Arabidopsis thaliana: one gene and its partner. The protein of the gene in region 1 interacts with the protein of each later gene in a pairwise test. Each region holds a gene or a part of one and is shown on either strand. Other genes may lie near its edges. The genes, in order: GDU3 and AT5G23710.

Region 1 (3,958 bases):
TGTAGTATCAGTCAGTAGTTGCAATATTTGCCTTGAAAGTTGTAAGACCAAAATTCGAGTTTTTCCACTATGATTTTAAGTTTTAACCATGACTATAAATGGATTGAAAACAAGAATACCCATCCAGTTCTGAGTTCTCTCACAGGCTTTGAAGATTAGTTCTAATCAGCTGTTGAATCAATGTTGGCCCAAAGTTTGTGTAAGGAACAAAGTGAATATATAACCACAATGGGCCTCTTACCAAAAAAACTACAGTGGGCCCAAATAAAACCCACCATTAGCCAACTTTATTTTCTCGACCCATAACCAATCCAAAAACATTTTTACATCGAACATCTTGATTACAAGTCTACGCAGCTCAACATATATCGTTAAATTGATAAAAATACTCTGTTTTGATAAAACAAAACTATTTGTTATGCAACAAAGAAGAAGAGGCAAAAGATTGACGGTTATTCATCAAAGTCTAGTTTCTGAACTCGAATATTCACTATTAATAGTTGGTAATCCATTTTCATTAGATGAATGTATAAATAAAGAATCCATAGCTTTAAAGTAATATAAAAAAAAAGAAACCTAGCTAGGGCTACAGCCTACAAGATAAGATTGAAAGGGAAAAAAGAAAAGAGACCTAGTGCAGTTAAAAGTCATTTTCGAAACTTATAAAATATTTTCCTGATAAGAATTATGCTATAGGAGATTAATTACACGATTAGGGTCGTTGATTGAAGCTAATTTTAACTGCTTCACCTCGCCGCATCAATTTAGAGACACCTAAGAGAAATTAAATCAGACATTCTTCTGCATGTGCCTTCACACGTGCCTGTAGTCCTCACTTCAATTTTCTCACCTGAAGAATCTTTTGATATTTTCTCTGTTTTCTTTTTTGTTCGGACCACAATTGTCACATTAATCCCACGAAAAAACATGTACTGGAACAGTACAATTTTTTCATCATTTAATCACCTTTTTTTTTTGGTGAATTTTTAAAATAATCAAGATATTTTCATTGAAGTCTCAGATAGTTATTTGTTTTTTCATTCTCAATTCCATAAATCACAAATTTCACATTCAAAGTCTCAGAAATTTACATTTTATCCCTCATCATGACCTAGATATGGCACAAAACTTACAAAAAAAAAAAAAACGAATTAACGATGCAAAAGGCAAAAGCTAAGATTTTTTAAATACATCATTGATCAGAACAACTCCTAATAATTCAATCCCAATTCCAATTTTTTCCAATATTACTCATCATCAAGTAGAGTTATGATCCAACCCGAATACCCGACGCAACCGGGTCAGATGCTGCAAACAGTTCTTCAGAACTGTTCACAATAAGACGATCCTCTGTTTTTCTCTTCCCTTCCTCTGGTTTTGTCAATGTGTCTCACCGTTACTTTCACTACTCCGCGGCACCACCTGATCACTTCCCTCCACGTCATCATCTTCATCGTCATCATCGTCACAAGTACACGTTTTTACCGACGGCGTTGCTAAGTAAGTAGGTTTGACATTTCCGGCCATAATCACCAAGAACTTCTCCGGCAAAGCTACAGGCTTCACCGCCGTTTTGTCAGGTTTCACATCTCCGACTTCAAGATCTCTCTCTCTGCTCTGGTTTTCCTCGCCGTCTAGATAACCGGAGAGACGCCAGTAAGAGCAAGCGAGGATTAGAAGAGCAAAAGCTATGAGACCAAGCATCGCTGCTAAACCACCAAAGAGATAAGGAACCGGTGAATGCCACGGTGAGTGAGGTCCTCCTCCCATGGTGGTTCTGTTTCCTTCAACGTTTTCTCTCGGAGGGTAATATTGTCTTCCTTCCATTTTTTTTTCACAAAGATGGTTTTGAGTTTTGAGTTTTTTTTTTTTTTAGGAAAATGTTTTGGTGTGAGGAGGAAGATGAGTGAGGAAGGGTTTTATAGAAGAGAAGAAGCGAATTAACGTTGTGGATTGTGTGTGACGTATCAATTTTTAATTTTATTATTTTGCGTATGAGATTCTTTTTACTTCTGATTTATGGAAATTTTTCTTATTTATTTATGTATTTGTATGTAATGAGTGAGTTGGAGAAAAAAGCAATATGAATTCAGTTTTTATGTTTCTCAGTTATCATGAATGATTATATGGAGTCGTGACGTGAGTGCATAACTTATGTTATGTCTTATTTTTGCCGTTTGCTAAAGTAATCGAGATGGTGTGTACAAAAGGATTAACCACTGAATATATATATAATTTGTAAATGAAAAAATAAACATTTAACAAGTTTTCCTATGATTTCCAAACATATTTTTAAGAGAAAATTCTTAATTCAATGGTAAACTTTTTTTTTTGGCTGTTGAGATTTACCATACTCATTTTTTTTTGTCCGTTTTGAGTCGCTTACCAACATAAAAGATAACTAACATATCTACTTTTTTCTTTCTAGAGTAATGTGTGTATGTGTTTTACTTAGAAGTTTACATAAATAATCGACGTTCACATTCACAGCAATAGCATTTTAAAAATGATTGGTAACATTTATAATCTCAGCAAGGTTAAGGGTTTATATATTTCAAAAATTGAAACTACATGCTTTACAGAGGAATGTTATGTATAGTTAGCAAGCCGTGTAATGATGAGCTTCTGTTGGTTTAGGTGCCGGTGATTAGTTGGGACCCAATTAATGTGGTCTGTTTCTTAATCAGTATTCCTTACTACTTTTTAAGCTTAATCAGTGGATAATTTCAAAAAATATCTTCGATTCTATCATACTCCAAGGAATTATAATATTAGTAATCATTTATTGTAACACTTAAACACTGTTTTAGATAATTAACAACCATTCACATAGTGTCGAATCCACTCGAATAAAATATAGTATGACTTTACAGAAAATATCTGCTGAGTGGTTATACTCTCTACTAGTACAGCGTAAGATCAACATCTACTTGGCTAATAATTATTTTTCTAATTTACAGTGGAAAAGTGAGACATGAAAACATAAGAGTCATGAAAATGATGAATTTTTTAACTAGAACAAAAAAACCAATGATTGATGGCTAATAGATAAAGAAACACTCTGAAGAAGAAAGAGGGTTTAAAAGAGGCAATTAAAAGGGGAATAAGATAAGGACAAGAGACTGACCAAAAACGGTTCCGTTAAAGCCGCTAAAATTTAGGTGAGCGATGCAAACGTGAAGAGATAGCCGGAAACGTAATAACCGTTAACGCCAAACAAGTAAAGTGAACGTTACCTAAAACAACTAAAATTACATGTTTGTTTAAATCTTCTTACTTCGAGTTCCACTATACATATTTATAACCAACTTTATTGTATCTCCAACATATTGATATATATGCAAGATATGCATGATTGTTAAAGAGCAAATGAATTCGTATGAGACCTTGAAACTCGGCAAAGCAAGAACAACAAGACTCACACTCGCTCTCAATAATTTTTCATGCTGTATTCATATACATAATTAATTAACTACTATATATAGACAATTTTTTCACATATATACAGCATAAAAAATAATTATGATAGGTATATATATATATATATATATATATATATGTTATCATATTTCATCGTGAACTGTGAACACATAAATATAAATGAAAAAACAGACGGTAGCCCACCACCACCATAAATTGCTTTTAACAAGTGACTATTGATTTTATCATATATAAAAAAATCCACTATGCACCAAAATCATCATTCTAACAAGAACATACCAAATTTTACGTTTTTAAAATATTTTAATGATATATTAGAGGAGTACAGAAAATTTTATATATCATCAAAAAGGAAAGTGGGAAACCCCAATGAAAAAAAGCTGGAAACAACATACCAAACCATATGCCTGAGGTCTCAATTATCTCATCAATGATAATTTTAAAAATTATAGATGAGATAACAAAAATGGTCCCATGTTTTTGCACAGTCTATTTGGATCAAAGTTTATTTGGTCAA
Region 2 (3,993 bases), about 15 Mb from region 1:
GGAACAAAAAAACTGTCAACATTATGCTGCTGGTCCAAGTAAAAAATGGAGAAAAGTGATAAAGAATAAAGATGAATCTTGTGCTTTCACCTCATTAAGAGAAGACAACGGCTGAGCTCAAGGGCTTCCAGAAGTTCTGAACATGTCATTTCACCAACCTCGTCCCCCTCCGAAGTCGCTTTAGCTTGTGCTTTTTCAGTGGCTTCTTTGATCAGTGTCCACTCAGGATTACAGCTGTGAATTACTCTAGCCTGTCGCATGATGATTACTCATTACTTGAAAATTCTAGAAAGAAAGTGAAATGAGCAAAACCATTACTACATTTTTAAAAAACTACAAGAAAGAAAAGAAGCACCTGCGGAATCTGCACCCCTAGCCACTTGGAAAACTCATAACCTAGACGTTCTGATTGCGTGGCCATCCTCGATGATGCAAATTTAATAACTGCTGCTTCTTCCTTACGAGAGGCATCTTCAGAGCTGGAACTATTGAACAGGGCAAAGAAAACAACTCCTCCAGAATTCACAGTAACCTGTACAGACATCTAATAGTGTCAAAAGATCCTCCTAGCATCACCAGTCCAAGATCATAATGATATATATACCTCAAGTGGTTTACTCTGGTCTTCTTCAGAATGATCAGTGCTACTACTATGTTCAGTATGATGAAGTGAAGACAACATATTCCATGAAAAACAGCTCGAATCAATATCCACAGTAGAAGCTTTACCAAGCCTTTCCCACAAACTAATCTCTGAACTCTGCCTACTTGGTGGACTTTTAGGATCAGTATTCCTCTCTCCTGCACTGGATAATACTTGTATCAACTGACATGAAGACTAATATCCTAATTTAGAAACCTTTGTTCTGATATACTCATAAGATTCCAAAATCATAATCAACAAACCAAGTACTTGACAAAAAGTCAGAGAAAGTGTTAACCTAGTGACCATATCATCGATGCGGTGAAGGCGGTGAGGGAAGCCAGAGGATCCGTAAGTAGCACTTCGTTTACGAACTAAATCCAACCATTGAGTAAACCTATAAGCTGGACCAGATGCTATATCTCCTAACATGTACAAAACCTGCAAATTCCAAAAGTCTTCCAATTTTTAAGACGAGACTATTAATATAACCCTAAAACCTAAAACGAATTTAGGATCGGAGAAATTTACACGAGAAGTGACGGTGAGAGGAAGAGGAGACTCGTGCTCGTCGTGAACAAGGTATAGATCTTTCTCTTCGTCTTTTTCCTGCGATAGCACCATAATATCAGATCAGAGAAAAAGGGGAAAAAATCAAAATCAAAATCTGGCTCTGCGAAAAGAGGGAGAGATAAATGTGGGGGTAATGATGAACGCAAAAGGTGGGGGTGATAATGATAGATTATTAAATTTGTGGGGGAAAAATGAAGGATGATTACTTGAGAAAATGGTTGATCTCGCTTCTTCTCAGGTTCCGCCATTGCAAAAGCTTAGGTTCTGTTTAATTTTAGAAATGTCTTTTTCTTCAAATGTCAGCTTTGTATCTGAGAAGAGGAAAGTCTCAAGGTATCTTTAATTAATATGAACTTGTCGGACGAAGAAAGAAGACGGATATTTAATTTCATAAATTTATTATTGTAATAAAGACTCTGATCATTTTATTCTCATTATTCAAGATTTAAAAAAATAAACATATTATTATTTACAGAACTGTCTTCTAATTTTATTTTATTTCCGTTTTGTGTTATTATTTAAAACTATATTTTGTATGAAACTATTTCGGTCGAAATCAACAACATTTATACAAAAATGGTTTTAGATTTTAAAAAATATTCACTAAAGTTTATGGTTTAATCTGAAAAAGTTCAGTCTAATAAAATAAAATATTTATAGAATTTTTTTGTCAACTTATTTCTGAAAATTAATAAGCATAAATATTAGTAAAAAATCAAAAATATATACTTTCTTTGTTTTACAATATAAATTGTTTTGGACCAAATTTTTTGTTTTACAATATAAATTATTTTCAAAATTTTATGCAAATTATATATTATTTTAATACTTTATAATTATTTCTATTTTTAAAAAATAAATTGAATTTTTTAAAAATAAATATTTTTAATCTACATGTTTTTATCTAAACCAACTTGTATAGCGAAATCTCATATTGAATTAACAAAAATCCTGAACAATATGTACCAATCCACTTCGAGTTACCTTTTGTTGTGTATTAGTTTAGGCCCACACTAATATATTTGACTTTCTTCTCTGTCTTATATATTTAGCTAAAAGCAGACCTAGGGTTTTCGTATCCGTTCCAGTCACGGACGACTTCTCCGTTCTCTGAACTCTCCTAAAGCCTCTATATTCATCGGATTGTTCATCTCCAGTAAACCAATCTCCAGGTAAATTGAATCTGAATCTTCACCAAAATCCTTTGTAATCTCAGAATCATCGATTTTATCACCTTCTTATAGTATAGATCAATCCTTTTCGTAAATCACACGAATTCTCTCAATTACCGTGTCACAATTCCGATTGATTTTTGCAGTTTGGTGAATTTGTAAGAATGAGTAAACGAAAACGTCCGGATCCGAAATCATCGGGAGGTGATCTAAACGAGCCACACGAGAAGAAGCTTCTGGATCTGATTCGAATAAACCAAGGAAGAGGCGCAACTATGTTCGAATTGAAACGCGAGAAAACGATCCCAGCAACTATAGTTACTCGATTGATCGCTTCTCTACGGAAGAAGAATCTCATCAAAGAAGTAGCAAACATGAACAACAAAGGTGTCAAACATTATCTTGCAATGGAGTTTGAGCCTTGTAGTGAACTTACTGGTGGTGAATGGTACACTGATGGAGCTCTTGACCTGTCGAAAATCGAAGATTTGAAAGCCAAGTGTGTGATGATTTTGGAGAGGCATAGGCAGAGGGTTGTTACTTTGGAGGTTTTGTGTGGGTATTTTGTTAAAGAGGAGAAGCTGAGTGTTGATCAGACTAAGGAGATACTTAAGAACTTGATTTTGGATAATTTGATCATGGAGGTGAAGAGTAATGGAATGAATGAGTTTGCTTCTACGAGAATCGGAGAAGTTTGCTACAGGTTGACCGGGAAAAAGTTCGGTAATGGCGAACCGAGAGCTGGAGCTTTTGCTTCGATTCCTTGCGGGGTTTGTCCGCATATAGCGATCTGTTCACCTGATGGTGTTATCTCTCCCACTACATGTGTTTATTTTCAGAAATGGTTAGACTTTTAGCACTCTCTTTTTTTTTTTTTTTTTGGGTTTAAAACTTAAGATTTTAGATTATGATGATTTGTTTTTTCGGTTATACAATAGAGAATAATGCTATTGATATCTTTAAATTAAGAGTCAAGGTTGTGATTTGAAAGAGTAGATGTCGGAGAAGAAGATGGAAGAAGCTGATCTGTTTCTTTGCGACAAGCTTCCCATAATTGTTGCTCTACTCCTAGTTTCCTTAGCTCTAACAAACCTCGTTCCACTGTAAAGAGAACAAGTTAATGTGTTATTAAAACTAGAATTAGGACACAGGGGAAATCAATTGAAGAAGTTTATTACCGTCAACGGCATCTTGTGAAGTCGGAGATTTTCCTTCACTACGACTGGTCCAAAACTGGAAACGTTCATCTGCAATGTCTTCTTCCACACTATGCAACTTGGCTCTACCCCAGAAGTACATAAGCCATGCCTGCATTTATAACCAAATAACGTCGGTTCATCAAGATTCATCGCGATAAATTTAGTTACCAACCACAATATACCAATAATTACCATCTCTTGTAACAAAATGTCACATTATAACCTTATAGTTATGAAATTATAGGCATAAAGAAACTACCTGCTTAAAGGCAACATCTTCTTGTTCCCCTTCTTTTATCTCTGCATTTGAGAAATGTGATAACATAGTAAGGATTTCATCAAGTTTGACTGCTGATATGATATATTGTGCATGTTTGGACTCTCTTCTCTTACCGTATGATTCTAC

What was found.
Region 2: the proteins of GDU3 (region 1) and AT5G23710 interact in a two-hybrid assay, tested with the Arabidopsis thaliana proteins (one large-scale study listed by BioGRID).

What each region holds. Positions count from the first base shown.
Region 1 is NC_003076.8:23,364,976-23,368,933, forward strand, and holds GDU3 (glutamine dumper 3), read right to left. Parts: upstream 2,089-3,958; 5' UTR 1,828-2,088; coding exon 1,381-1,827; 3' UTR 830-1,380; downstream 1-829. UniProt on the Arabidopsis thaliana protein: Probable subunit of an amino acid transporter involved in the regulation of the amino acid metabolism. Stimulates amino acid export by activating nonselective amino acid facilitators.
Region 2 is NC_003076.8:7,995,780-7,999,772, reverse strand, and holds AT5G23710 (DNA binding / DNA-directed RNA polymerase), read left to right. Parts: upstream 1-2,267; 5' UTR 2,268-2,388; exon of another isoform or gene 2,389-2,534; 5' UTR 2,535-2,552; coding exon 2,553-3,245; 3' UTR 3,246-3,352; downstream 3,353-3,993. Other genes in the region: PHS1 (dual specificity protein phosphatase family protein), read right to left, coding at 91-251, 356-532, 605-806, 942-1,084, 1,175-1,252, 1,423-1,464; AT5G23700 (coiled-coil protein), read right to left, coding at 3,353-3,489, 3,567-3,696, 3,847-3,993.